Linked DNA regions of Drosophila melanogaster. The gene in region 1 interacts genetically with each later gene. Each region holds a gene or a part of one and is shown in the gene's direction. Other genes may lie near its edges. The genes, in order: GLaz, ND-42, sicily and Marf.

The links.
Region 2: of GLaz (region 1) and ND-42, changing one suppresses a phenotype caused by changing the other (phenotypic suppression), as found in Drosophila melanogaster (one study listed by BioGRID).
Region 3: of GLaz (region 1) and sicily, changing one suppresses a phenotype caused by changing the other (phenotypic suppression), as found in Drosophila melanogaster (one study listed by BioGRID).
Region 4: of GLaz (region 1) and Marf, changing one suppresses a phenotype caused by changing the other (phenotypic suppression), as found in Drosophila melanogaster (one study listed by BioGRID).

What each region holds. Positions count from the first base shown.
Region 1 is NT_033778.4:13,162,658-13,170,960, reverse strand, and holds GLaz (glial lazarillo), read left to right. Parts: upstream 1-2,928; 5' UTR 2,929-3,058; exon of another isoform or gene 3,059-3,172; intron 3,173-4,325; 5' UTR 4,326-4,399; coding exon 4,400-4,537; intron 4,538-6,129; coding exon 6,130-6,284; intron 6,285-6,342; coding exon 6,343-6,415; intron 6,416-6,471; coding exon 6,472-6,744; 3' UTR 6,745-7,002; downstream 7,003-8,303. Other genes in the region: Spt-I (serine palmitoyltransferase subunit I), read right to left, coding at 480-644, 706-1,071, 1,127-1,454, 1,511-2,010, 2,073-2,120; CG15870 (uncharacterized protein), read left to right, coding at 7,118-7,489.
Region 2 is NT_033777.3:22,024,556-22,030,526, forward strand, and holds ND-42 (NADH dehydrogenase (ubiquinone) 42 kDa subunit), read left to right. Parts: upstream 1-3,153; 5' UTR 3,154-3,465; coding exon 3,466-4,593; intron 4,594-4,660; coding exon 4,661-4,756; 3' UTR 4,757-4,838; downstream 4,839-5,971. Other genes in the region: CG6028 (uncharacterized protein), read right to left, coding at 1-299, 371-498, 585-849; Cchl (cytochrome c heme lyase), read right to left, coding at 1,580-1,835, 1,893-2,482; CG13409 (uncharacterized protein), read right to left, coding at 5,151-5,524, 5,591-5,693, 5,751-5,971. UniProt on the Drosophila melanogaster protein: Accessory subunit of the mitochondrial membrane respiratory chain NADH dehydrogenase (Complex I), that is believed not to be involved in catalysis. Complex I functions in the transfer of electrons from NADH to the respiratory chain.
Region 3 is NC_004354.4:11,887,685-11,894,245, forward strand, and holds sicily (severe impairment of CI with lengthened youth), read left to right. Parts: upstream 1-4,047; 5' UTR 4,048-4,353; coding exon 4,354-4,535; intron 4,536-4,604; coding exon 4,605-4,719; intron 4,720-5,045; coding exon 5,046-5,671; intron 5,672-5,905; coding exon 5,906-5,987; 3' UTR 5,988-6,061; downstream 6,062-6,561. Other genes in the region: CG1840 (uncharacterized protein), read left to right, coding at 812-830, 888-972, 1,032-1,284. UniProt on the Drosophila melanogaster protein: Involved in the assembly of mitochondrial NADH:ubiquinone oxidoreductase complex (Complex I) at early stages. Interacts with cytosolic Hsp90 to chaperone the Complex I subunit ND-42 in the cytoplasm.
Region 4 is NC_004354.4:6,362,987-6,372,285, forward strand, and holds Marf (mitochondrial assembly regulatory factor), read left to right. Parts: upstream 1-2,962; 5' UTR 2,963-3,246; intron 3,247-3,646; 5' UTR 3,647-3,870; coding exon 3,871-4,177; intron 4,178-4,372; coding exon 4,373-4,662; intron 4,663-4,732; coding exon 4,733-5,071; intron 5,072-5,345; coding exon 5,346-5,357; intron 5,358-5,539; coding exon 5,540-6,466; intron 6,467-6,535; coding exon 6,536-6,706; intron 6,707-6,806; coding exon 6,807-7,003; intron 7,004-7,072; coding exon 7,073-7,274; 3' UTR 7,275-7,938; downstream 7,939-9,299. Other genes in the region: swa (swallow), read right to left, coding at 695-1,230, 1,319-2,158, 2,340-2,610; PpV (protein phosphatase V), read right to left, coding at 8,743-9,201, 9,290-9,299. UniProt on the Drosophila melanogaster protein: Mitochondrial outer membrane GTPase that mediates mitochondrial clustering and fusion.

The sequences.
Region 1 (8,303 bases):
CTTATTCCACATATTAGTTATTATTAAGCGTGTGATGTGTATCTTAATTGTCATGCAAGAAAAACATAAATAAATAATGAATGTTTCTTTGTGGAAGTTGTTCTTGTAAATTTTACAACAAATGCCACATAATATTACCCTTATCTTTATCGGGATATTCAAAAACGTTTGCGATTGCGCAGGCGATAAGAAACACCAATAAAAGGGCACGTAACTACCAAATAAACTTAATAGTTTTATTTAACCAGCTCTGTTATCTATAACGTGTAATCTTTGAAAGTTTTCCTAGACTTAAAATTTTTCATTAAAATGCAATGCAACAAAGTGCAAAGAGCAAGTGCAAGGCTAGCTATTAACTTAAACAATTCATACTGGACTGGTCGTGAAGAAGTGATGAAAAAATGATGGGGCCAGCAGGCCTTAAAACTTAACAGCAAGGCCATTGTCGAAAGAAGATCATTCCTTTCCAACAACAAGGCTTATAGGACGGAGCTGGAAACACTCTCGATGACCTCAAACGCATTGTCTATTTCCGAACTCTCCAGCAAACGGTTGACAGCAATGCGAATGCTGGGACGGACTGGTTGGCGTTCCCTGTTCTGCAGGTAGGCAGCCTGTACCACAGCCACTCCACGAGCAATGCACTGGGAAAAGTGAGTAGAAATGTATAGTTTTCATAATTGCATGGGGAAATAAAATGCCTACCTTATCAGCCAGCTCTGTTAGAAGTTTCAGTTCCTTGTCAAAGTTCTCGGCGGGCTGGGCAAGATACAAGTGCTTCACTGGTGACACCTCATCGCCGCGCAGGGTTAGCTTGCTGAATCGCAAAAACTTCTGGTGCAACGTCTTAGACTTTGCCTGCAGCTGCTCGAAGATTTGTGGTTCTCGTTCGAAACGATCCAACGCTGAAATAGCCGCCTGGGTGAGCATGGGCGGCAGCGAGGCCGAGAAGATGTAGCCCAAGCCAGAGAGGCGCTGGTGCTCGGCTATGAAGTGCGAGCCAACACAGAAGCCACCGACTGTTGCCATCGAACCCTCCATGCCGGCCGATATCAGATCGACTTCATCACGCTAAAAGAAAAATACCAGTTATAATTTTAGTTTTTCTTTCCGGTTTACCACCTACATCGACATTAAAGTGCTCCGTAACTCCGTGACCACCCTGGCCCAATGTGCCAAAGGAGATGCTTTCGTCGATGAACAAACGCAGCTTGTACTTCTGACGCAAGGCCACCAGGTCGGGAAGTGGGCAAATCTCGCCCGTATTCATATAGATACCCTCGGCGACGAGGAAGCGACGTGTCTTAGCCGCCTTTTTCGGATTTTTCTGGTCTCGTTTTTCTTGCTCAATCAGCAGACGTTCTAGATCCTCAACGTCATTGTGCTTAAAGAAAACGATTGTGCTTCGTGAAGCATCCAGACCCTTCTGAATGGCAAAGTTGACAGCCTCATCCCTACAAATAACAAGTAATTAGTCGCCAATCTGAGTAGGTGAAGTAGACAATCCTACACAAAGATAAGGTCGCCACGTTTGGCATACGCCGGAATGGCACTGGCCACGGTCGAGAAGCCGTAGGAATAGACAATGGCCTCCTCCAGGCCCATGAACTTGGCAATACGATCCTCCAGGTCCAGATGCACGTCCATAGTGCCGTAGAAGCCCCGAGGTCCGCAAGATCCAACTCCGTACTTGCGCAGCGACTTGCAGGCCTCCTCCAGTATCTCCTGGTCCTCGAGGAAGCCAAGATAGTTGTGAGAGCCAAGATTTAGGCAGTCGTGTCCATCGACCTGGATGCGCTTGCCCACCCTGGACTGCACAACGCGGGTGTGCAGCAGGGGATGATTGGGATCGGTGTCGGCCACCAAGGGCTCTGGTTCATAGTCGGCGATTATTCGGTCTTCCTCCTCCTTGGTCAGCTGTCGGCGACGACCTCCTCCTCGTCTGTGGAGCAGCAACCAAATCACGGTTATGAGCAGTAGGGTCTCCAAGACGAGAGCAAACGTGGGGGTCTGTGGAAGGAGTAGAAACTGGAGTAAGCTAAATGTGGTGAAAAAGGCGAATGCAAACTTACGTTTCGGAAAATACTGCCGATTTCGTTGAACAATTGGATGGCCACCATTTTGACAGTCTGGTTCCGTGCCCTTTCTGTGAAAAATCAATTGAAACCGCCTTAATTCCCTGAAGTTATGTGTCATCTAGCCGACGCTTTCTTATCGCGGGTATGCCCCATACATATGTAGAATTGAAGCATTCGACCATACGGTACGGAAATCTTTTCAATTGGGTGTGTATGCTGACATAGGCTAATTGCCAGTGGGCGAAAAATGTGCAACCACGCCCTTCTCCAACATTCTCTTACATTAAATATCCATTTAAATCGAGCACTCACCACAAAACTCAGTTAACTATAGGCAAAATGCGTGAAATATCCGCCGAAACAGATGGATGAACGAATGTACTAAAAAATACCAATACGCGGATATCTTTAAGATGTGCGCCAAATTGGCGGCGATGGAGGAACAGTGGAATATGGAACTAGGGGACGTTTTTATTTATTTTTTGTTATTCAAAAACCTGGTCCTGTCGACCTGTCCCGCCCACCTGCCCCACCGACCTGTCCCGCCGATCTGACCCACCGACCTGTTCCGCTGACGTGTCCCACTGACCTGTCCCACCGAGCTGACTCGCTAACAACAAAATACAACAAGTTACAACAGATTTTAAATTTTTATTAAAAATTACCTAGATTTTATCAATATTTTTATGATACTGAACTCAAATAAACTTGCTACGTAACGGTTCTTTTCTAGTTATCATTTCAAATATATGATCGATTACTATTTTATATCGATAGGCAGAGCAGCGATCGCAGTGTGACCGTGCGGTGGGAAATAACGAAATCGAATTCAATTCAAACCGCCGATCCATTCAGTTTCCATTGAACTGCTGCTGCGATCGGTCAACCGATGTGAATGAGCCGCGTTACTGGCGCCATCTGAAATTCGAGTTCGCGAGATAAAAACCGCGAGAAGACAAAGAACACCGCAAAAAGCCGATGTAAACAAAGAGATATAGTTAGTTCTGCATTTTGCAAGAAAACTTTATCACATTACACGCGAATCGAAACGGATACTTGTATGTGCACAAAGTGAAATCAGCTGGACAACAAGAGTATTTTGCAATTGCCTTGGTTTATTTTCAGCCACTTGCGGCTGTCGTTTTCTGTGAAATTAACACTTTTTTCTATTGGCAGTGATGGGAAGTGTATATTTGGGTGTACCTGGCTGGTAGTCTAGATACAACAATTTACGCTATGTGTCGCGATCTAGTCTAGGTACAAGTATTCACTCTTCCTTGCAAATGTCCTTGTTTTAATATATAGTAAATTCTATTGCATTTCATATAATTATTTACTATTTACCTATATCACTATTCAATTAGACCCAAGGAAATACTTCTTTCAAAGTCACGATTGTATTTAAAATATACATAATCATTTTTATCAAGTTCCATTTCGTCTTAAATTACAATATTATTAAATAATTGCCAACTGATACTGATGAACTATACTATGTAGCTACCAATCAAAGTACCTTTCACATCACTATCTATCAATCAAATAGTTATAGTTAGCATTGCCCATGCGATAATGGCAAACCGAAATAGCGCAAAGAAAAGCCACTTCCTATTTCTCTTGAACTTGATGCGCTCGAATGAAGCTACCATGTCTACACCATGCCCACTTTCGCAGATAAATCGAGCAATGCACCCGACTAACTCCATGACACAATTGATGCATCCCAGCGCAGTATTTCCTCGATTAGGTATTTTCGCTTTTACCCGCTTTTTGCAATGCGCAATAAGTATCTCTTGGTGTGTGCGAAAATCGGTGGAGCAACCAGTTTTCGAGCTGCATTTTGACGTTGGCTTTTCTTTTACGTAACTCGCTGGCCGGGCACGAGCCAAAAACCAAAATAAATATCAATAATAAACACGGCGCCGCGCCAACCCAGTTAGTGGTTTTCACTTCACTTCACCTCACATCACATCACTTTACTTCTTCTTCTTTGCGGGACCTACCAATTCGGTCCGGCTTGCTCCACTAAGCCGGTAGCCAGCACGTTCCATTATCGCACACATCCCATCCGGAATACTAATGGACGGACATGGTGTACCTTTGAGGAAATGTATATGTAGTTGGTTCATGACGATCCATAGTTCGTTGGCCAAGTGAACCCGTCGTATCGGAAATCACCGCTTTGTGCACAGCCAAGTTAAAACGGTCGAGTTCAATGGAAATTGCCTGATTTCGAATTCCACACAGTTTAGTTAGGTGCTGGAGTGCCGATTCTGCCGCCTAAAGTGCCAAATATTCAAAGTGAACTATCAGAAGCAACCATGATGAGTGGCCAGCCACTTGGCTCGAGGGTTTGGCTGTTGTCCGGAGTGCTATTAGTGACATTTGCTGGGACAGATGCCTACGGATTTGGACGTTGCCCGAATTATCCATCGATGCCAAAGTTTAACATGAGTCGGGTAAGTTAGTTGCTGGTTTTCTCATACATACTCTACAAACTCTAACTAAAATTGCTACATATTTCGATCGCTATTTTATTAACAGCCTGTTTGGGTGTTGTAAATATTCATACAGACATTTGTTTGCAGTCTATATATACATATTTGCAATTGGCTTTATTAAACCACCTTTCAAACCTGTTACTAAAGATCTGTGTCTATTGACCCACTGAGTAACACCAGTTATAAGATTACAAAGAATTTATGAGTATGAAAATAACTATGAGTATGAATATATGAGAACTGTTTGTCCTTACAACAACGAGATGCATTGTATAACTGGCCACTCATCGCCTGTCTATTTGCCATCGTCTTAAACGTGTCACATCTTCGATTAATTGGCACAAGGCGTCTGGCGCAGACGAAGACCCCTCTTTACATCTTGGGGATTGTGCAGATGATGAACTTGAACCATTTTAAGGCCACCAAATCCGATCCGCCGTGTAAAATGCAAACCAGTTTTACAGAAGGAGGCGAGCGGCACAAAAGCTTTATGGCCTGCTGATGGTAAACAAGCCACTTATTTTATAAAGAAGTAAATCAACCAGTACCAATGCTGAGACATGGGCACGCCAAGGACAACAAAGTGCACTACAGTGGAACATTCCTGGTGCGAACATTTCGCTATTACAGCCAATATTTCAATCAAGTAATTATGGAATCATCTTGCCAAACCACCGATATGACATCACAAATGTGAAACTAATGTTTTTCGAAAGAGAAAATTAGAAAATTGGTTTCAGGTGGCTGTAAAAAGATTGTTTCAAAGTATTTCTGAGAATCCATAAATGGACTTTGTTTAGTACTCATAAATGCACGTAGTTGTTTTAAGCTATAAAAGCCGACGACTGTTCGCTTAGATACACTGTCGAGATCATGGATAGAAAATTGGAACAATCACTTAAGCAGCTCAAATTAAATTGATTGAGCCTTGATTTGCATAAAAGATAATGCACCATAATTGCCCGGTTGAGGTGGAGGCATTGTCACTCACATTATGTGGGTCTAGCGACCTCCTCTCCACTTCCACTTCCACTTCCAAATGGCACATCATCCAATTGAGTTGTTGACAGGCGTAAATTAAGCCATTTGCCACCGGCCCCGCCCCCTAAACGCACTTTTGACCCGGGGCAAAGACCTCGACTGGCCAGCAGTGGCTCTTTAATGCGATGCGGCGCCCACCGCCGACTTTGAACTGCAAGATGAGCAGCGGCCAAAAGAGCGGCTCTTCTCAATGACCAGCAGCCACAACCGAGTCTATAACCAGTTTCAAAAATGTTTACGTTTTACGCATTGTTTGCGCTAAGTGGCATTTTGATTAGTAACCCAGTTAAGTGTTTCTTGGCCGAGAGAAACGCTGCGTGACAAAGGTTTTGGCTTTCAGACTGATGGTTATCAGGTGATTCTACTTCCAATAAAACCCTTCAGATTTAATGAAGTAATTGGAATATGTAGAAGAATTTCCATTCACTGAAACAACTTACTTAAGAACTTAAGAACATGTTGAAAAGGAAGTAAAAATATCTATTTTATGTAATGTCATTATCTTGTAGGTCCTTGGACACTGGTACGAGGTAGAGCGCTCTTTTTACCTTCCGGAAATCGCCTCCGGATGCACCACCTTTCAGTTTGAGCCGTACAACAAGGGCGAACAATCGAAGTTTTCCAATTTCAAGCTGGCTGTGGCCATTAAAAACATTAATCGCATGTATGATTAAATAATCTAATAATATATATTGTGTGTTAGAAGTGTTTGTCCTTTTTAGAACTGGTAATCCGAATGTGAACATTGGCTATGCAACACCAGAAAACAGCCGATCCTCCATCATGGATTTTAAGGTATCTACAATAAATAATATTAACAACACACAATATACACAATTCCTTTTTCCTAGTTTACCACCCGATTTCCGGACGTGATTGCCCGACTACTGCCAGGTTCCGGAAAGTACCAGGTGCTATACACAGACTACGAGAACTTCGCCATCTTGTGGTCCTGCGGCAGCATTGGCTCACTGGGTCACTCCGATCAGATCTGGATTCTTGGACGTGATCGGGACTTCGAGGTGGATATCCGATCCAAAGTGTACGACGTGTTGAAGCGGCTCTCTCTGGATCCGGAAAGGCTCATCATCAGCAAAAACAAACAATGCCCCGAGGCGCTGTAGGAAGCTCCTCCAGCGTCTCATCCCCCATCTATATGTTTAAGTTCATTCGGTTAAGGAACAAATTACATTTGATGCCTAATCAATTAGGCTGCTGTGATATCGAGGAGTGTGAATCGGCGGAGAGAGGCGAAGCAACGCAAATACAGAAACAAAAAACAAGAGTAACTCGATCGAGGTTTTCAATATATGAACTCATGCCCGCATTGCCAATTAACGCGGGTGTCCTAATTAATTTGCAATAAATAGAATTTCCCAGTCATCGGAACTTAGTCGTGATTTACCAACGGATTGAAAAGGTTCTGGCCGGATAAGATGTCCCGACTGTGGATTTTGTTTTGTCTGATTTTCCTTGTGGCCCAGGCACATATGTCCGATGCGAGAGGAGGTGGAGGCGGAGGAGGACACGGAGGAGGCGGTCATGCTGGAGGTTTCGGAGGTGGCGGCCGCGGAGGCGGATTCGGAGGAGGAAGAGGTGGTTTTGGAAGAGGCGGCTTTGGAGGACGTGGTCCAGGATTCGGTCGTGGCGGTTTCGGTGGACCAGGCCGCGGAGGCTTTAGAGGAGGCGGCTTTCGAGGCTATGGAGGATATGGCGGATATGGCGGATATGCCCGATATGGCGGCTACGCTGGATACGCGGGAGTTCTTCCGGTTCCTCTTCCCGTACCCTATCCCGCAACCTATAATCGCTGCTACTACGATAATTACTATTATAATTACTACTACTGCTGATATGATACGGTTATAGATGGTTTATTTATACAAATTACAATCAACACGTTGCTTTAGTTACAAAGATTATGTAAAGTTACCCAGAAATTCGGGCTGTAGACAGTTCTCTAAATATTCCATATCTCATTTAACTTATTGTTTTGATGGTCTCCGGTGTCTGGTTCCTGTTTGTCCACCCAGTGATCAGCGATCAGTGATCAGCGATCTTTGTGGAGTGCGACTGCGATGGCAGTGCTTAAGCCTAGTCAAAAATATTCCCATTAAAATGCAATCTACATATGCGCATATATATATAAACTTAATCTACAGACTAGATATGGATACGAGACGTTGATGATGCGTTCGTTGTGGCAGACTATTCGATCGAGATCGAGAGATCAGAGGGTATAAGTGTATCAAAATAGTTTCTGTATCGATTAAAGAAAGTTATGTGAGGAAGCATCGAATGAAAGACTTGGTAACGGAGCTATCTCTTAAAGATATGGAGTTGTCATTTATACTAACTTAATCACAAACCAGATGCCCCTCTGATCTCACCTTGTGCAAAATTGAATTCAATATGCATAAGAGCTGGGGAGACTCAAAAAAGATAGTCAAGGAATGCCACCTTTATGCAATTCAGAACTATTTTATATGACCTAAACCAAAAGCGGCAATGCTGAGATACACAACTAAAGATCCAAAAGCTTATTATCAAGTGTTAAGATGATGGCATTCCCTTCTATTGTTTTTCCACCCAACCTGGCGTATTCATGCGCTTCTATTGCTTGCCCCCAAGGACAACGGACGATCGTTCTGTTCGACAAGGATTATTTCATTCACTTCTCCGG
Region 2 (5,971 bases), on another chromosome or scaffold:
AAGATCAAGTTGCCGGTATTGCCGTTCTGCTTCTCCACGCCGTTGACCCAGGTTTTCAGATTCAAGTTGTAAACATCCGGCACCAGACTCTTGTGCACCACAGCCGGTCCCAGCGGCAGAAAAGTGTCCATCGACTTGCCCATAAGGAACTGACCACCGTTGCGTTCCTTCTGCCAGTCGCGGGCGGAGATATCCTGGGCCACCGAATACCCGAAGACATAGTCCATGGCCTGCGATTTGGGCACCTGGCGGGCGACCTTGCCAATGACACAGACCAGCTCAACCTCCCAATCGATTTTCTGTGGAATTTTTTTTTGGTCGGTTGGTTATCTCGATGAGCCTATCTCTTGTTATCTCTTGCTTCACTTACGCTGCTGGCCGCATGAGCGATGACATTATCTTGAGGACCCACCAGGGCATTGTTAAACTTGCTAAAGAACAATGGTTCCTTGGGGGTCGGCTTGTTCTGCTCATCGCAGTGGTCCTGGTAGTTCAGACCTGCAAGCAGATCGAGAATACGTCATTTTGAAGGTCAGGGTCCAACTACATATGTTTATACATATGTATGTTAATTCATTCTTTACCAATGCAGATGATCTTGCCGGGATCGGTAAGAGGCGGCAGCAAAGTGACATCATCATTCACCTCGAGTCGCGGCTGCTTTTCGGCCTTCTTCGCCAGTTCCTCCAGATTGGGATCCTGGGCAATCAGGATCTTTAGATCGCTGGGCACACCCTCCAAGCCGGCAAATTCCACCAGCGACTTTTGATCCTCGGACAGTAGACCAAGTCGCTTGGCCAAGTCACCTTTTCGCAGGTATTGAACGAACCTCATTCTGGCAGCTTGCATTTATGACTGATTTACGTCGAACGAATCTATCGCGGCTATCCAATTAACGCTCCAGTGGCCAAACTCGAATCTCACGTAATGAGGGCACCAGCAATCAGTTAAAGAATTTACACGCGCTTTTCAACACTGCCAGACATTAACCCCCTGAAGCCGCAGGTGTTAGAAAAGCATCATACATATAAACATACATATAATGTTATGGGTTGCATATCAACTTTTTATCAGAAAATGTATGTTAAAAAAGTTAAGAAACGTCTAAAGTTATATTCTATTTACTATACATTTTTTAAATTTGTAGTAATGATAAAAAAGTAGTAAACGTATTTTTATAATTTCGCAATCATTTTAAAGAGCATATAAATAAAATATAAAACTAAAGATTAAGAAAAAAAATTTTTACAGGCATTTTGAACAGATGAGAATTCTGCATATACATAAGTATATCAATAAAAAAAAACTTTAATTAATATATTCCTCCACAATGCTATCAACTCGTTACTGGATAATTCGAAATCCTTAAAAGGATTTAAGTAAAGAATAAAATAAAAAGCAAAACCACATTCGAATTTTGGTGTTCAGAAGTCAAGATTCAACATTTATTTAAAGAGAGGGCTCAACATCGTTTCGCTTCGCAGCGTCTTAAACGCATTTAACCAAACTCCCTCTTCCATCCATTCGATAACTTAAGCCGATTTTGTACCTATAGCGATCATCTAAATATGCATTCCATCTAGTCGCTACCAGCGGTCACTTTGCCGCCATCCGCGCTGCCAAACTTCTCAAACAGCTCGTACTTCCAGCGCATGTAAGCTACGCGCATTCTGTCCCAAACGTTGTCCACGGAGTCCATGGCTGGGCGCACATCCAGCAGGGCAAAGCGGTAGTCTTTGTCCACCAGTCCACCGTCGTAGTAGTCGATGACGTAGCGCACATCCTTGCCGCAGCGATCGACTATCCAGTCATGCCTATCGAATGGCAGCTCGTATCTGTAAGACAATTCGAACATTAATTCAGGTGAGATCTTCCGTCTGGAGTATACTCACCCCAGCCAGCTGCGGAATCGAGCGCGCGGACTGAAGTCCTTGGCCTTGCCACCGAAACTCTTGAGGCGCGGATTGCCGCATTCCTTGGCGTGAAGCGCCTCCCACTTAAGTACCTCCTGCCAGGCCTGCTCGTTGTTGGCATTGTGGATGCGTATGATGTCGCCCATGTCCTTTTGCGATACGTCCTCGGTCTTCCAGCGCCAGCCCTTGCGTAGCATGGCGTTCCAGAACATCTGTTGGCTGGGATACTGCCAGAATTGAACGCTGCCATCCTCGGTGACTTTGGGAATGGTCGACGTCTGGCGGTCGGTGGGCAGTGGAAAGGGCTGATCTGCCGCCGGCTGTTGGTTTGCCGGTGGCATCATATTCAGCGGATTAACGTCGCTGTTGTCGTGCTGCACCGGACATTCGGAAGCGGCCTGCATCTTGGGATGTGGGGGTACGGCGGAGGCCGATTTTGCATCTCCATGCTTCTGATGCATGGGGCATTCTGGTGGCGGGGCACCACTGCCGCTCATGTACTTGGCGTGGTCCACCGGCACACTCTTCGTGGCCTCCATTTGCACTCGGGTGATGGCTGTATTGCCCATTTCTGCTGGGGATTGGTTAATAACAAAATCTGTGTCACGAGGAAAATCGCATTAGTTCTCAGTTGCGTAACTGTAAGGAGTGGGTTACACTCCCAGTGCTGGGCCCCAACGCCAGGACTTACTCGATCCTAATGGTCACAACTCTCGATATTTGTCGATCTTCTCCTGGAGCCTTTCGCCTTAAATTTTGATTTATATTTTCGTTAGTTCATCGTTAGAACTTTTGAGCCCAAAATGCAGCGAGGTTGTGGTCAGGGCTGCCAGACCAACGGAAAGTGGACCAGTTGTTTCTGCACCGTGACAATATGTTAAGTTAAAAATTTAAAAAATCAACTCGCACCGCACGGCAATGTGAGTTTATGGTGTGTGTCTGTCTACAAATGAAAAGCATTGTTGAATTTATTTCAAGTAAATTAACTTGTAGTTAAACACCCCAGCTGTGCTGTGTAGTGTTGAGCAGTCGCTTTGCGATATTTTTAAAAAGTAAAACAAATACATTTATACATTAAAATGTTATTTTGTAAGTGTTATATAAAGTTTTTAAAATACTGGGTTAAATTTCATTTCATATGAAATTCTTTCTGATTCTGAGAAAAGTCGCAGTTAAAGCATAGACAAACATTTTGATTTTACATTTTTGATATTTGAACGGATACCTTGACAGCCCTATTCGGGGAGTTTTCCAACACCAACCATAGCCCGAAATTTGTTTTTGGGTAGACTTCCGATATTTAGATTGAAAAGTGAGTAAATACCACCGGATAGAGCATTAAAACCGACAATTTGGGTAAATCTATGGAGCGCCGCAATGCTGGCCAGCAGAATGCAACGAAAAGATCCGCATATCTGCAGTTCTAGGGCAGAGATTACCGCACTACCTGCGTAGCTCCTGTGATGTAACCACACGACAAATTGCCACTGGACGAGATATAATTGTTATTATCTTGTTTCGTTTTTGTACTGACCCTTGTTTTCCCTTCAGAATGACCGCCGTGTTCCGCGTAGGACTGGTGCGGCTCGTCAGCCGCGCCACACAGTCGCCCAATCTACTCCAGGCGCAGACGAATGCCCTGCCTGCTGCCTTCCAGCAGCGATGCAGCATCTCCGGCAAGACGATGCGAGGTGGACCACGGGTGCCCAAGGCCGCCCCCTATCCGTACAAGACGAAGAAGTACAGCGTGTTCAATGCTATTTTCGACAAGACCTCCAAGCGTTTTGACGAGAACTCCAAGGTGATCTGTGTGGAGGGACCCATCGCGGCCGGCAAGTCAAAGTTCGCCAAGGAACTGGCTGAGGAGCTGGACATGGAGTACTATCCGGCAGTTGATCTGGACCTAATCTACATCAATTCGTACGGCTATGACATGAGGAAGTTGGATCCTCAGTTGCCGCCCAGCTGCCGAAGCTACGATGTGCGCAACTTCTGCCTGGATCCCAGCCACGATCTGGCTGCCCAGTTCCAGATTCGCATGTACATGCTGCGCTATTCGCAGTACATTGATGCCCTGCAGCACGTCCTTAGCACCGGCCAGGGTGTTGTCCTCGAGCGCAGCCCCTACTCGGACTTTGTCTTCATGGAGGCCATGTTTCGGCAGGGTTATCTGTCACGCGGTGCGCGTTCCGTGTATAATGAGCTCCGACAGAACACCATCGGGGAGCTGCTGAAGCCGCATTTGGTTATCTACTTGGATCTGCCGGTCGATGCCGTGAAGAAGCAGATCAAGGCACGCAATGTGGACTACGAGGTGCAGTCAAAGGTGTTCAGCGATGCCTACTTGAGCGATTTGGAGCAGCTGTACAAGCAGCAGTACCTCAAGGACATCTCCACCCATGCCGAGCTGCTCATCTACGACTGGACAGCCGGCGGTGAGACTGAGGTTGTGGTGGAGGATATCGAACGCATCGACTTCAACCAGTTTGAGGCCGATATTCACAACAAGAAGATGCTCGACTGGCGTTTCCCGCTGGAGGCCGAGTGGTGCGAAGCCCGTATCAAGTACTGCCATGAGAAGCCCGATCTGATGAATTACTTCAATGTGCCGCGTTTCGATGTCCCGGAGCTGGTGCGCAGCGCTGACGACGGCAAAGTCTGGCGTGATGTCTGGTTCAATGTAAGTTCGGTGTTTCCATTTCCCTGTTCGATTTCTTTTCACATTAATTCTGCCCCTTTGCACACAGGCTCCCGGCATGAAGTACCGTCCTGGCTACAATGCAGACATGGGCGACGAGGGTCTCCTCACCAAGACGAAAATAGGCATCAACCAGGGCATCTAGAGGGTTTTTGCTATGCTTTCGAGTTGAAATCACCTGGCGAAATGTGTTAATTATCTAATAAACAGTCTAGTAAAATAATCAGAACCCAATTAGTTAAAAAGCGAATATGGTAAATATCGATTGTAAATACTTTTCATACAACAAAACTCGAACTATTGGGTTTATTTATACTTTTTTTTTAACATAAATTTCGAATTCAGCTTAATCATGAATACCCAAACATATTTCGATCCTCTCCAGTTTCATTGATCAACCAGAGATTAATTTTTTGAAATTTTAAGTTAATTTATGCATTATATTAGGGAATACTTTGTACACATTTAGCACTAAAACTTCAATTGCGCTATGGAACATTTGGGTATTCGTTCTGCCGCGGATACTTCTTAATCGCCGATCAATCGCTGTCGTAATCGTTCTTTCCAGCACCGCCGCCCACAGAGGTGAGCGGTCGCCGTGACTCCTCGTCGGAACCGTAGACAACATCCTCGTCGGAATCGTCGATCATGGAAATAGCCGGATTATCCTTGGTGACAGCCAGCTCCGCCTGGGCGAACCGTCCATCTGGCGAGTACACATACGCCATGGTGTACAGGTAAAAGTTAAGCAGTCCGTAGAAGCACATAAACTGCGCCGAACTGCGATAGGTGGTGTTAAGTGAGGCGACAAAGTTATCCTCCAGGATGCCGAAGCCAAAGCGACACGTCGTCACCGTGATGGATATGGACAGGACGAACAGCATGAGCAGCGTGAGAAACTTCAAGCGCATATCTGGCCAAATGGATTAAGCATTATAATAATAAGATCAGGCTTGGAGCACACTGCATTATGTCTCACCAAAGTACGGCATGGAGCGCAGCTCGGTGTACGCCCGCAGTAGCAACAGCACCAGATAGAGCACATACATGCAGCAGGCGATGTAGAAGAACATCTTGAAGCCCTAAGAATGGTTTGGTTTTCGTATCACATTTCATTAGTACGTATTATGTATACCCACATTGTAGTTTTTCGTATCCACAAAGTGACTGTATGTGGGATCCCTCAGCTCGTTGCATTTCTCCCACGTGGCCAAAACGATGGCGCACAGCCAAATGGGCAGGACGACGATCACCTTGACCAGGTAAAATCGCACGAAGCTGCGCTCGTTCTGTCGCAGTCCATGGTAGATGCACAGCCAAAACATGAGTAGAGCACAAAGGAACGTCGCTTGCAGAATGG
Region 3 (6,561 bases), on another chromosome or scaffold:
TCGCGGAAATGGATGGGGTGGCGGTGGAGGATGGGGCGGCGGCGGCGGAGGTGGTGGCGGCGGTGGAGGAGGAAGACCTGGATCAGGATCAGGTGGACTAAGACCAAACCGCCGGATCGGCCGCATTCAGCCGACTATGAGCTGCAATATGCCCGCTGGAGGCGGATGAGGATAGTAGCGACATCCGGTTCCCAAGACTCTTGGGAGGATGTCGCGCCGACAGAAGGCTGGTCGTGTATAGCAGCACCCTGAATGACCCAGATATCACGGTTTATCCCGCCCATGTGGCGCTTATGACGCAGTTGTCTTAAACTCGAACTCGAGCGGGCAATTGCTGATTACGATTAACCACTGATTCCTGGGTCGCTGCTTCGTGGCCGTCGTCGGTTCCATTTATCAACTATTAGCTCCAATACATAGCTACAGGTTTTTTTCTATCGGTCTGCGGGTTTATATTCGTTAATTTACAATTGCAAATTCGAAGTCACAGTACCCAAATAGGAATACATAGTTATTCTGGTGAAATACATAAATAAATACCAACCATAACTTTTGCAAAAGCTCTGTTTTAATGAGTTCATAAAAAATGTTTTTTAAATTCAAAAATGTATTTATTTCAACATATGAGACTATCGACATCAGCGTAGGCTATGCGATATTTGTTGTATCATCAGCTGCTTTGCTTGTCCATCTCTAAACACCACGTCAATTTTTTTTTTTATACACAAACAAATCAAAATATTCAGCTTCGGCCCAGATCTGGAAATATTTGAAAGAAACAAAAGATATTGCATGCTAATTTAGCTTTAAAATGGCGTACGTCGATCAAAGTAAGTGCAAGTGAATGAGCATATGATCTCCAGAATGCTAAGCCCTTCGTTTTGCAGATGGTCGTCTGTGGGAGAAACGTCCATGGGACTTGAGACGAGTTTTGGACACATTCGTGGGTATATGGTTCGCCGTCAAACAGTTGTGAGTGCTAAATGGGTGTTAAGAGCTTAGGATTCCTTAACCCATATCCCTCCTTTCAGGCTTGCATCGTTCCTGTCTCCATTCACTGGAAATGATAGCAACGGAGATAACTCCCGTCGAGGAAATGGATGGGGAAGTAGTAGCTGGGGCGGAGGGGGCGGTGGTGGTGGCGGCGGAGGCGGTGGCGGCGGAGGCGGTGGCGGAGGCGGAGGCGGTAGCGGTTATCGCGGAGGTGGATTAAGGCCTAATCGACGAATTGGGCGCATTCCGCCCCCCTCCCAATCCTGCAATGCCGGAGGATGCTGCGGCTGAGCTGCTTAACCAAAATGCTCCAATAAATAATCCAACTCACCTCTGTGATGCGGCAATTAAAATAGATAGGTTTTTGTTTACCGTTTATATTAAAGCTATGTTTTAGTCATAATGATTTTGATTAATTGAGAAAATTCAAAATATGCAATCATACATACAATGCAATACAATACATACATACAATCATACAAACAATAAACTTTTTAATATCCGAACTTACAATGAATCGTACTTTCAGATGCTTTTGACTTATTTTTGCAACAATTTCTCTATTTCTATTTTCAATAATTAACCACCCCTTTCACTTTTCAATTGATTTTGTAAAATTAATTTTTGGCCAAAATTTTCGCATTTTTTGTAAGGGGTACCATCATCAAAATTTGCAAAAAAATGAAAAATCCTAGAATTCCCAAACTTGAATGCAAATCGATTGGAATTTAAAAAACAAACTCAACGATGTATGACATTCCATATTTGAGTCATTATTTTCAATGTTTTGATCAAAATACCGAATATTTTTTTCACAAAAAATCTGGAAACTACTTTTGGCAAAAAACTCAATTTTCAAGTTGGCTTTTTTGGCTATAACTTGTCTAAAAATGGTCACAGAGCAAAAAGAATTACCATTTTATACTCCTTATGACCAATACTAACAACCCCTATCACTTTAAAACGGATTTTGTAAAATTAATTTTTGGCCAAATTTTCACATTTTTTGTAAGGGGTAACATCATCAAAATTTGCAAAAAAATGAAAAATCCTAGAATTCCCAAACTTGAATGCAAATCGATTGGGATTTAAAAAACAAACTCAACGAGGTATGACATTCCATATTTGAGTCATTATTTTCAATGTTTTGATCAAAATACCGAATATTTTTTTCACAAAAAATCTGGGAACTACTTTTGGCAAAAAACTCAATTTTCAAGTTGGCTCTTTTGGCTATAACTTGTCTAAAAATGGTCACAGAGCAAAAATAATTACCATTTTATACTCCTTATGACCAATACTAACAACCCCTATCACTTTAAAACGGATTTTGTAAAATTAATTTTTGGACAAATTTTCGCATTTTTTGTAAGGGGTACCATCATCAAAATTTGCAAAAAAATGAAAAATTCTAGAATTCCCAAACTTGAATGCAAATCGATTGGGATTTAAAAAACAAACTCAACGAGGTATGACTTTCCATATTTGAGTCATTATTTTCAATGTTTTGATCAAAATACCGAATATTTTTTTCACAAAAAATCTGGAAACTACTTTTGGCAAAAAACTCAATTTTCAAGTTGGCTTTTTTGGCTATAACTTGTCTAAAAATGGTCACAGAGCAAAAAGAATTACCATTTTATACTCCTTATGACCAATACTAACAACCCCTATCACTTTAAAACGGATTTTGTAAAATTAATTTTTGGCCAAATTTTCACATTTTTTGTAAGGGGTAACATCATCAAAATTTGCAAAAAAATGAAAAATCCTAGAATTCCCAAACTTGAATGCAAATCGATTGGGATTTAAAAAACAAACTCAACGAGGTATGACATTCCATATTTGAGTCATTATTTTCAATGTTTTGATCAAAATACCGAATATTTTTTTCACAAAAAATCTGGGAACTACTTTTGGCAAAAAACTCAATTTTCAAGTTGGCTCTTTTGGCTATAACTTGTCTAAAAATGGTCACAGAGCAAAAATAATTACCATTTTATACTCCTTATGACCAATACTAACAACCCCTATCACTTTAAAACGGATTTTGTAAAATTAATTTTTGGACAAATTTTCGCATTTTTTGTAAGGGGTACCATCATCAAAATTTGCAAAAAAATGAAAAATTCTAGAATTCCCAAACTTGAATGCAAATCGATTGGGATTTAAAAAACAAACTCAACGAGGTATGACATTCCATATTTGAGTCATTATTTTCAATGTTTTGATCAAAATACCGAATATTTTTTTCACAAAAAATCTGGAAACTACTTTTGGCAAAAAACTCAATTTTCAAGTTGGCTTTTTTGGCTATAACTTGTCTAAAAATGGTCACAGAGCAAAAAGAATTACCATTTTATACTCCTTATGACCAATACTAACAACCCCTATCACTTTAAAACGGATTTTGTAAAATTAATTTTTGGCCAAATTTTCACATTTTTTGTAAGGGGTACCATCATCAAAATTTGCAAAAAAATGAAAAATCCTAGAATTCCCAAACTTGAATGCAAATCGATTGGGATTTAAAAAACAAACTCAACGAGGTATGACATTCCATATTTGAGTCATTATTTTTAATGTTTTGATCAAAATACCGATTATTTTCTTCACAGAAAACTGGGAAACTATTTTTGGCAAAAAACTCAATGTTTAAGTTCGCTTTTGTGGCTATAACTTGACTAAAAATGGACTCACAGCAAAAAGAATTACCATTTTATACTCCTTATGATCAACACTAACCATCCCTTTAACTTTTTAATTGATTTTGTAAAATTAATTTTTGGACAAATTTTCGCATTTTTTGTAAGGGGTACGTACCATCATCAAAATTTGCAAAAAAATGAAAAATTCTAGAATTCCCAAACTTGAATGCAAATCGATTGGGATTTAAAAAACAAACTCAACGAGGTATGACATTCCATATTTGAGTCATTATTTTCAATGTTTTGATCAAAATACCGAATATTTTTTTCACAAAAAATCTGGAAACTACTTTTGGCAAAAAACTCAATTTTCAAGTTGGCTTTTTTGGCTATAACTTGTCTAAAAATGGCCTCACAGCAAAAAGAAAAGAAGTCAAGAAGATTACGCATGGCAAAAAAGCAATATTTACGGAAGATAATGTATTTATATACCTAAGCTAAGCTTTATATGGTAAACTACCTAAGCTAAGCTATAATAATGCATTATAAATTTACCAACAAGTCACATACAGCATTTTGAATCTTCCGCCAAATGAAATTTCCGCGTAATCGCGAATACCCCATATGTAGTAACTTTCTGACAGACCGAGTGCGATCTGGCAGCACCGCTCAGAACATATGTTCAGTTGTCTGGTGGAAAGAAGAAGCACAGATGCGGCGCCTGGTGCGAAATTGGAATTGCCGATTGTTATTTAACGCCAAATCCGGCCAAGAAATTGTCAGCCATGCCGGAATTCACCAGGAGGCCAAGACCAATGCGATTCCCAGGGAAAAGAAAGTGATTGAGGCGGACAAGAATGGATACGGGGCCAAACATTGCATGAGTCTAGTGGAGTAAGTAGCGCAAACTTGTCGATTGAAGTTATCCGTATAATTGAACATGGATCTATTCCGGATAACCAGGAAATACGACTACGAGAACTACCTGTGCACCTTGCTCCTACCACGGGAACTGCGACGTGCTGCCTTCGCCCTACGGGCATTCAATGTGGAGGTCTCCAGATCGGTTAGCGGCCATGTGAGTGGAGCATCGAAATTCCTTGGGGCTTATTTTTTAAGTTAGAATAACGTGGCGCCTTAAATTCAGACTCCGTTCAGACTCTGTTACTCCGCATCAATATTATTGTAAGCATAAGTGGCTTATGTCCGCATCTCATGAATATTATTACCATTTCGAACGGTTTCACAAATCTCTTAATTTCTTATGTACACTGCAAGAGTATAATTTCTCTCCTTCCTTTAAAACGGATAGAGAAATTCGTAGAATAAGCAACACTTCGTAGTTTTTAAACTTCTTATTTCTGTCCAGTAAAATCGTTTATATAATGACAAATATCCTTGCAGCAAATTGAGCCGCAAATAGCCAAAATGCGCCTTAAGTTCTGGCACGACTCCATAGACAAGTGCTTTGAGCCGGATTCCCAAAGATCGTACGTGGAGGACCAGCCTGTCCTGCGCGAACTGAAGCACACGGTGGGCAGTCGCAAGCTAAATAAGGTATATTTGCGCCGTCTGGTCACAGCACGGGAACGTCCGCCCACGCATGCATTTGAGTCGATACGCGAGCTGGAGGAGTACACGGAACAGACCTTCTCTTCGCTATTGCTCCTGCTGTTGGAGGTGGGCGGAGTGCGTGACCTAAATGCTGATCATGCCGCCTCCCACTTGGGCAAGGCCCAAGGCATCGCCACCCTGCTGCGATCGATACCGCTGGCAGGACGTCAGCAGGCGCCCTGCATTCCGCTCGAGGTGCTGGTGCTGCATGGCGTCAGCCAGGAGCGCATCATTCGCTCTAAGAGCGACGACAAGGGTGTCGAGGACTGTATATTCGATGTGGCCAGTGCCGCCAATACGCACCTAAAGCTCGCCAGGCAGCTGCACGATAAGGTGCCGCCGCAGGTGCGCAAGATCTTCCTCTCCGCCGTGGCCACGGATGCATATTTGGAGCGCCTCCGCCGTGCCAACTTCCTGTGAGTTCCTTTGTTTTATATTGCTTTGTTTTATATTACGACAAACACAGGAGAGAACCAGCTTCTTTTTGTAGTTAAGATGTTATTTTTATCCAGTTATAAGTACGATTTGCCTTTATTGAGACTTCTTTATTTCAAAACCTAGCTATAGTTTGTTGGTTGTTCAGTATTCATGGAGCGGACCCTTCTTTTTATCAATCCCCATAATAATATAATAATTTTCCCATCTTATAGGCTAACCCACAAGAGCTGCGTAGGCCGCGACACCTTACTGCCAGCACGTTTATTCTGGAAGTCGCTGCTTAATCGGTTCTGATAGCGATTATGTTAGTATGTAGTACGAAATAAATTCTTCATTGTTGACTTCTTTAATAAAAATCACTTTAAAATAAGAGCTCTTACTTTTTCTCGAATCAATAGAAGAGGATTTCCAATGTTTATAAGAATACGAATATGAATCGGATCGGGGATCTTTTGGATGAAATGGGTTAAGAACGGTTGCAGGAATATCGCTATCTCGCTTCGAATCGGGACGTAATTACTATCGATGACAGGTGCACCAAAGGTTCGTCCCGACGAAGGTATCGGTGGATACGATGCAAGACCCGATTGGTACAGTAGTTGCTAGCTGATTTCAGAGCGTTTCAGGCGCAGTTTTAGTTTTTTATGAATGTTAGAATTGATGTGGAAAGTGTGTGTTGGATATTAATGAGAACGGAGCAGTGCGACGATCGCTCAACAAGATAAGCACCGTTTGTTTTTGGGCCCGTTTCCGGCTTCCGGTTGCTAGTTCCGGAAAAATTGCAACGCCTACTTTACGCGTACTTTTGGCATGGTGAGTTTTTGGCGCGCTTTCTTCGCACTCCTGGATTGAACTTTGTAAACCCAGA
Region 4 (9,299 bases), on another chromosome or scaffold:
ATAACAAAAGGTAACGTGCACAGAAAAAGTTCCCTGTATATGAAATATGTTTGATGGGAATATTTCTCCTAGTTTAGTTAAGCAAGTTAAGAGAGTGGGATGGGGAGGGGGAAAAGCTTCTTACCATCGACATCCCCATCATAGTCGTCCTCATCCTCCTGATCGCGACCCACGGGATCGCTTACGCATGTCTTGGCGCTCTTGTTGGCCACATCCGCATCAAAGTCCGGATCCGCGTAGCAGATCTCCAAAAATGCGAAATGGTGCGAAACATTGGTGACGAATGCTGAAGCTCTGCGTAATTGAAACTGCCAGTGTGGCCGAAGTCGCAAAGCAGCCACTGTCAATGTAACTGAATCTGCATGGGATTCACATGATTTCAATACATGATATATCAACCCGAACAAATCGGATATAAATGCAAGTGTGCAAAATTTTTTTATTAAAACAAGTACAAATTTGCTTGGATAGAAATAAATAATACGTTTCACTACACAATTCGCCAAAAAGATTATTTTCCTTTGGAGGAAAGTTACTAACGAATTTCAAATTTGGTTATACATGCACATATTGGTTAACTGAATGCTATGGCATTAAAAATTTGGACTAATTGAATCGACATAACGCGACATAAAATAACAGGATATGATAATACATACAATAAATAAATAAAAGTGGATGGTGGAAGGCTGGACTAGCGCTGGTTCCTTTGGTCAACGAACTCCTCCTCGGGCATCGCAGGCAAACCATCCTTGTATGTGACATTGCTGCGGTTCAATGGATCACCATTACGGCAGCGAACGCAGGGCCCCAGGAATCGTAGCATCCGACTGCCCAGTGTCGTCCTTTTACTCCTAAAGTGGTCATGCGCCTCCAAATGCGACATCGACATCGAGTGGACCAGCAGACGCGTCTGACTATCGTTGATGCTCTGATTATGAATGGTGTCATGGCTCTGATTGCGCCCCTGACTGATATTGAAGCCCATCACCTCGATGACTCGGTTGTTGCGCTTGTCAAAGTAGTACATGCCCTCATGCTGGCCCCATTGCCTGGGCGAGATGAGCTCCCCCTGTTGTTCCCACTGCCGCCTGGAGCTGGGTCGCTCCTCCTCGTGCGCCTCCACCTCGATGGCCGAGTCGTTGCTGCTCGGCTGGCTGGTTTCCGAGTTGTTGGGCGCCGGGGTTCTTCTGACCAAGGCCCTGGATGAGGTTTCCACACGATGTTCGCCTTGAATAGAAACCAACAAAAATCCATGTTAGTCAATCTTATTCGAAATAATCTACAGATCTAATAAAATAGCATTGCGATTGCTTACCACTACCGCTGCCATCAGCTTCGGTGCTAACGCTGCTAAAGTCCAAAGATTGTGGATGAATCGCGCGTTGGACCTGGACGGGATTCTGGGCCACTCGGGCAGAAGGCGCCACACTGAGCAGTGCCAACTCGATGGATCCTTTGCTGCTGTTGTAGGTCAGGTCGCCCAGGGGATGGGGTGTGACCAGGACGTTTCCGGAGGCGGGTATGGTGTCCACCAGGAAATCCGTTTGAGTGGCCTTGGCACTGGTCGCCGATCGAATGTGGTACATGAAGTGGTGCTGTGAGTTGTCCTGCTGGCGCCTAAGCTTCTGCTGGCATTCGCTTAGCTCGGTGCGCAGGGTCTCGAAATTGCACTTCATCTTCACAAAATCATCTGTCTTTCTGTCCAGTCGTTCCTGGACATACTCGTTGAAGCCCTGCAGACGCTTCGCTTCTACTCTCAATGAGTTGATCTTTTGCTGCAGGCTCTCGTTCTCGGCCAGCAATCGATCAAAGCTGCTGCTAGAGTTGTTTGAATTGGAATTGTAATTCGAATCGGAGTTGGAGTGAGTCTGGCAGTTTTTGTCCACCTTGAAGTCACCATCATGGACATACACCTGCTGCAATGTGGGCGTTAGACTCTCCGGCATAGAGTTCACTCGCTGGAATCCGGCGAACTTCACATTGCGTCTCTTTTGGTCCTGCGCCTGGATCTCCGCTATGTACTGGCCCACCTTGCTGGTCACGTGCTGGAAGCGGCGCTTCGTGTAGGCCGAATGGATGTCCTGGTAAGAGACCGCCTTGCTGGAGCGCCCGCTGCCCAATGGAGCCTTCTCGCAACCCAGTTTATGATCATCGCCTGGTTGAATAAGAAAGGATACATGTTAGCACTAGCTAATTGACTGTGCCCATTGAATGAAGTACCCATTATACATCGAGACATGGAAGTACCAAAATTATACATATATGAGATATGTTTGATGGGAATATTTCTCCCATTGTAGTTAAGCAAGTGTAGAGAGAGAGCGAACACTTCTTACCATCGACATCCTCATCATAGTCGTCCTCATCCTCCTGATCACGACCCACGGGATCGCTTACGCATGTCTTGGCGCTCTTGTTGGCCACATCCCCATCCGCATCAAAGTCTGGATCCGCGTAGCAGATCTCCAAAAATGGCGCTGTATCCCGCTCGAAGACTGCGGGCTTATGGTGCTCCGCGAACCAGGTATTCCTGGCGCCACTGCTACTCAAATTGTTCAGCTGGTCAAACAGCTCGTCCGTCGGAAAACTCTCGTCCTGTAGACTCATCGCTTTTTATGCGGAAATCCGAAAAGCGGGGGAAATAATACAATTAACACGAGACACAAAATTACACGCGGATTCCAATTGGAGCGGGAAAGGCGCCGTTACATTCTGGCTAACTGGAAACTGGCTAGTGTGACCATTTCCAATCAGTGAAAATCATTGTCAGGGTAAATTCTATTTTTAAATTAGACAAAATTTAAATTAGACAATAAAAATAAAAATAAGCTAGGTGGTAGTAATTGAAAAAAATTAATTTCAATTAAATATGGCAGCGAATTGAAAAAATACCATATTAAGCTTTCGACTGGCATAAAAATATACTAGACATGGGAAGGCATAAAAATGCACTAACGCCGGATGTCAGCGAACAACATGAGTTGGTCACCTTAACGTTACATCATGTGCATTTAAAAAAAATTAATAATATTAACTAAATTTCGTGAAATTGCTTCTCTGCAACTGGATTCTAGTCGGCAATGTACGGTTATTGGAAGTTCGAACCACGCTTTCCACAATTTGCCATTTGAAAACGCATCAGCTGAGGGGCAGCAATTAAAAGAATCGAACAACCGGAGAGGAAAATAAATACAAATATAAAATAAAACAAATACAAATATGAGCGAGAGTGGCATTAATCAGGTTAGTTGATAGAGCGAGAGGGCAGATTAAACTTTATCAACTCGATTTACGCACACAGATGTAAATTGTCAGAAAAAAGAAAAACCAAAAACATTAGATTATTATACTTTTTTCGCCTATATTTGTTTGCAGCGCAATTGGACCACGTGTGTGTGTGTGCGTGCAATTTGCGTTGCGGTATTTTCCTTTTCGCCAAATACAGTGCACTCTCGACATAGCGAACAACAAATCAATAGTTTATGTTCTCTCTAAGATATACTTAGCAAACACATGCTTGATTTTGTAGCGCACATTTTGTTTAACACTTAAACCACTCAAGTTGAGCTTATCTGGTGCGCACTGTATTCAATCGTTTTGTTTTTTCTTTCGTGTCATAATTTTTCATTTAATTTCGTTTCAGTTTTATGACGTTGATTTTTGAGCAAATACCCCCAAAAGCAATATAACACACAATAAACAGAGATAGTTAAGTTTTGAGTTTCGGGTTGGCGGCGAAGTTGCAGAAGTTGGAAGTCTGAACAACCAAATCCCCTGGGCTGCATACCTTTTGTTTTGTATCGCAATTCTCTTCTTCTACCAAAAAACCATCTGCTAAACCGAATCAACCATAAACCGGATCCCGAAATGGCGGCCTACTTGAACCGCACCATCTCGATGGTGACCGGGCAAACGGGCCCCGCCGACGACGACCGTCACGCCTCCTCCACGGACACGGTGGACAAATCCGGACCCGGTTCCCCGCTATCCCGGTTCAACTCATCGCTGCAACAATCCGGCTCCACAATGGCCGCCAATCTGCTACCGGAATCGCGGCTCTATCAATCCAACGACAAATCACCGCTCCAGATCTTTGTGCGCGCCAAAAAGAAGATCAACGATATCTACGGCGAGATCGAGGAGTATGTCCATGAGACGACCACCTTTATCAACGGTGAGTTATGTATTATATTTTTAAAATACCCAACAGAAGCCAATCCTTGAACCTCTATGTTGCATGGTATTCGATAAGAACGATTATGATTCAGTTCATCGTTTTACAAGGGAAATGGTGAAATTTTGATTCTTATCTAACATCTATTGCCTTTGGCGAAATACCCAGTTAAACCAATGTTCGTTGCTCTTTCAGCCCTGCACGCGGAAGCGGAGATCGTGGACAAGGCGGAACGGGAGCTGTTCGAAAGCTATGTGTACAAGGTGGCGGCCATTCGCGAAGTACTGCAGCGGGATCACATGAAGGTGGCCTTCTTTGGACGCACCTCCAACGGCAAGAGCTCGGTGATTAATGCCATGTTGCGCGAGAAGATCCTGCCCAGCGGCATTGGGCACACCACGAATTGCTTCTGCCAAGTGGAGGGCAGCAATGGCGGCGAGGCGTATCTTATGACAGAGGGCTCCGAGGAGAAGCTAAATGTGGTGGTAAGTGGGCTACTCAGCTCTCCTCTGGGAAATGTGTTTCGCCTAATGACCTAGTGACCCTTGTTTGCAGAACATCAAACAACTGGCGAATGCCTTGTGCCAGGAGAAGCTCTGCGAGAGCAGTTTGGTGCGCATCTTTTGGCCGAGGGAACGCTGCAGCCTGCTGCGCGACGATGTCGTCTTTGTGGACTCACCTGGTGTGGATGTGTCGGCCAATTTGGACGACTGGATCGATAACCATTGCCTGAACGCCGATGTCTTTGTGCTGGTCCTGAATGCCGAGTCAACGATGACGCGTGCGGAGAAGCAGTTCTTTCACACCGTCTCGCAGAAGCTAAGCAAGCCGAACATCTTCATCCTGAACAATCGCTGGGATGCGTCGGCCAACGAGCCCGAGTGCCAGGAATCGGTATGATCTTCTAGGCGGCCCCTTTAGTTAGTCCACAATCTCTGTCAGACCCTGCATTACCATTACATGGCAGGCGAACCATATGCCACATATGTGTACATATGTTCGTTTGCCAGCAGTTTTGCACTGCCACATCTCATAAGTAATTTCTTGGACCTCTTCGTATGCCTGTTGTCTCTCTATGTTGATGTGTGTCTTTTGTTTTTGTTTATTACCCAACCAACCAATCAATCTATCAAACAACCAACCAACTATCCACTGTAATCAACGCCAGGAATTGGCTAAGGTAATGAATGAGCTAGACCCGCTTGCTTGGTCCCACAAAAACCCAATCCACTCTGCTTTGGTCTCTTTATCGAATTGAACCGATGAACACCTCCTTGTTGACTCTTCCCAAAGCAGCTTACTTAGTTGCCCTGATTGATTGATCTATGCACTTTCTAAGACGCTTATTTCATCAATTGATAGGTTAAGTCTCAGCACACGGAACGCTGCATCGACTTCCTCACCAAGGAGCTAAAGGTGAGCAACGAGAAGGAGGCGGCCGAAAGGGTATTCTTCGTTTCCGCCAGGGAAACGCTGCAGGCGCGCATCGAGGAGGCCAAGGGCAATCCGCCGCACATGGGTGCCATTGCCGAGGGCTTTCAGATACGCTACTTCGAGTTCCAGGACTTCGAGCGCAAGTTCGAGGAGTGCATCTCGCAGAGTGCTGTGAAAACAAAGTTCCAGCAGCACAGTTCGCGCGGCAAGAGTGTTTCGGGTGACATGAAATCAATGTTGGACAACATTTACGAGCGGATCACCATATTCCGCAATCTGAAGCAGGACCAGAAGAACCTGCTCACCGAACGCATCCAGGGCACAGAGACGCAGATGATGCAGGTTACGCGGGAAATGAAGATGAAGATCCACAACATGGTCGAGGAGGTGGAGGAGAAGGTGTCAAAGGCGCTGAACGAGGAGATCTGGCGCCTGGGCGTACTCATTGACGAGTTCAATATGCCCTTCCATCCGGAGCGTTTGGTGCTGAACATCTACAAAAAGGAATTGAATGCCCATGTGGAGAGCGGCCTGGGCAGCAATCTGCGCGCCCGCCTATCCATGGCCCTGGCCATGAACGTCGAGTCCGCCCAGACGGAGATGACCGATCGCATGCACGCCCTGGTGCCCAACGAGCAGCTCCTGGCCACCAGCACCAAGATGGTGGTGCGCACGCAGCCCTTCGAGATGCTCTACTCACTGAATTGCCAGAACCTCTGCGCCGACTTCCAGGAGGATCTGGAGTTTAAGTTCAGCTGGGGCATTGCGGCGATGATCCAGCGCTTCACCGGCAAGGTGCGCGAGCGCAGCAAGAAGGGCCAGCCGGCGCTGGTCAATCGACAGAGCAGTATTGGAGTGAGTTTCTACAGTATAGTTGTGTTGCACCACCTTTACTATATCTCTGCCATCGAATCTCGTTCACAGCACAGCGTATCGACGCCGACCACGACGCCCGTGGAAGCCACTCCTGTGTGCCTGCTGCCCGCTCCCGTTGTGGCTGGCATTACGCCCGAGCAGCTGTCGTTGATCTCACGCTTCGCGGTGTCCTCCATTGGATCGCAGGGCACCGTTGGTGGTCTCGTCGTAGCCGGTGTCGTAAGTGTTAACGGTTAAATTATCATAACACCTCTTGTCCTTACCAACGACCAAGCAGGTGATAGTGCATAGCTATGTGATGAAATCAAACCACTTGCAGATGCTGAAAACTATCGGCTGGCGTGTCCTGGTGGGCGTGGGTGCCCTCTACGGCTGCATCTACCTGTACGAGCGCCTCTCGTGGACAAATTCAGCCAAGGAGCGAACGTTCAAGTCGCAGTACGTGCGCCATGCCACCAAGAAGCTCAAGATGATTGTCGACCTCACCTCGGCCAACTGCAGCCACCAAGTGCAGCAGTGAGTATTGATCCCTTAGCGTCTGAATCGCTGATCACTTATCGAATATTCTCTGTCACATCTCAACAGGGAATTGTCGAGCACCTTTGCCCGTTTGTGCCGCACGGTTGATACCGCCACCACGGACATGAATGATGAGCTCAAGACGCTGGACTCGCAGCTGAACATCCTGGAGGCGAACCAGAAGCAATTGAAGCTGCTTCGCAACAAGGCCAACTACATACAGAACGAGCTGGACATCTTCGAGCACAACTATATATCGCCGCAGTAGTGGAACAGTAGTGGGTTGGCTGACCGTGGGGCAAAACACTAACCAGAATGTGGATGATCATAGAAATCAGGCGAAGACAAACACCCAAACGACTACAACAACATTAATGCACCACGTATTTGCTGCTCAACTCTCAGTTTTTCTCTCCTCTTTTATTTTATTTTTTTTGTAAGAAAATGCATGATATGAGCCAATCGATTGGAACCTCTTTATTCTCTATCGTTTAAACAAATCGTTGTTGTTGTTGAGAATTCTTTTAATTCCTAACATGCACTACTCTGCTAGTGTGATTATTTAGTTTTCTTTTTTTTGTAATTGTTGACCCGGAAACGCACGCGTATATATATATACAAATAGAGAAGTATCCAAAACACTGTGAGCATGGCCAGGTGCCATGGAAAAGCAAGTTGCGAGGAATTATGAATGCCACATGATGATGACCGACCCCAGAATGCGAAAGTCACTCACTTATTTACCTCTTTTTCGCCCCTAATAGAAAGTCTAGTACTTATACATATTTGTTTTTGAGTTGGGACGCTAGAATAAATGTTGGGGCAAAGCAAACCAATATATATGAAAACACAATTGTTGAGATGTTGCAAAGCATGAGAATGAGAATGATTCATGAACGAAAACGAAACGAAATAAATGATATTTATGTAAGAAACTCATAATCGAAATTATTTCAGTGGAACTTTGAATATCGGAGCCGTGTCGCGAAAACGACAGAGACGGATGATGGACATTTTGGGAGCGGAATAAGGGACACCTGGTTTTTCCCACTGATTACCGGACAACGCATTTCGAATTGTCTTTTTTGTTTTAATCATATCGTTTTGATCGGGATCACACAATTGGGTTATTCTTAGTTATTCTTATTTCCTTCAAAGCATTACTAATACAAAATGTACAAAGTATATGATTTTTGTGTTTGTTCACAGAAATAAATATGTAGGTTTGGAATACAAAATAACAAAGTGAATCTCTATATACTTCTTGCTTCCATTAGCATCCGTTATCAGTAAATACAATACTTGGATATACAACTTAAAGAAATCAATTCACGTGTTCCCCTCTCTTTGGACTTGCCGGAAACTAATAACAAAGTTTTTTTTTAACTGTGCTCTTAAGAATTAGATATGTGTTTTTGCCATACAAAAAAAGAGACGAAAATTACAAGTTACAGGTGTGTGTGTGGTGTGTGTGGCTTGTGTTTGCTGTTCTGAGTGTTTGCTATGCTTGGGGTGCTCGTTGCGCACGTTTTGAGTTTAAGGCGTTGAGTTCATGGGTGGTCAAATGAAACGGATCAGTCAGTCGAAGGCTGCACTCCGCTCTGCTCTCCACAAGCGTATATGATTATTAGCCACGATGCCGGAACAGTGGGCGGATCGTATTGGATCGGTATGTGGTATGGTATGTGGTATAGTATTGCGTTGCATCACTTCACATCGCATCACATCAGAACGTTTTACAGGAAGTAGGGCGTTGTGTTCTGCTTGGGTATCACACGCTCCGCATCCGGAACAGCCAGGAAGATCTTCGTCTGCCGCTTCTCCGCCGTTTCGAAGCTAAGAATGGCGGCAACGTTGCCGCAGCGATAGCAATAGTTTGGCGCCGACCACACGGTCACCAGTTTGCCATCAAACATATACTTGATGCCCTCGTTGACCAGCTGATGTGCTCGGCATATGAGGTTCAGATTATTGATCGCCATAAAGTCCTTGGTCACATTGTGGCCAAACAGCCAGCCAGCGCCGCGCGGACTCTGGCCCCAGTACTCCATGTCCTCGGGATCGGACCACACCAGATCGCAGAAGGCACCCTTGTACGGTATCTCGCCGTTGCGATCGATCGTCCTGATCTGGTCCAGTGTAATGATCTCGGGACTCAGGCCACCGTGCACGCACAACACCTCCTCGTCGATGATCTGTGTACATTAGGGGCAGTGGGGTAAACATATATGTAAATGATTAAAAGGGTGTTGTCCACATGAAGTATCCCATAGTTCAACTCACGGCAGCGATG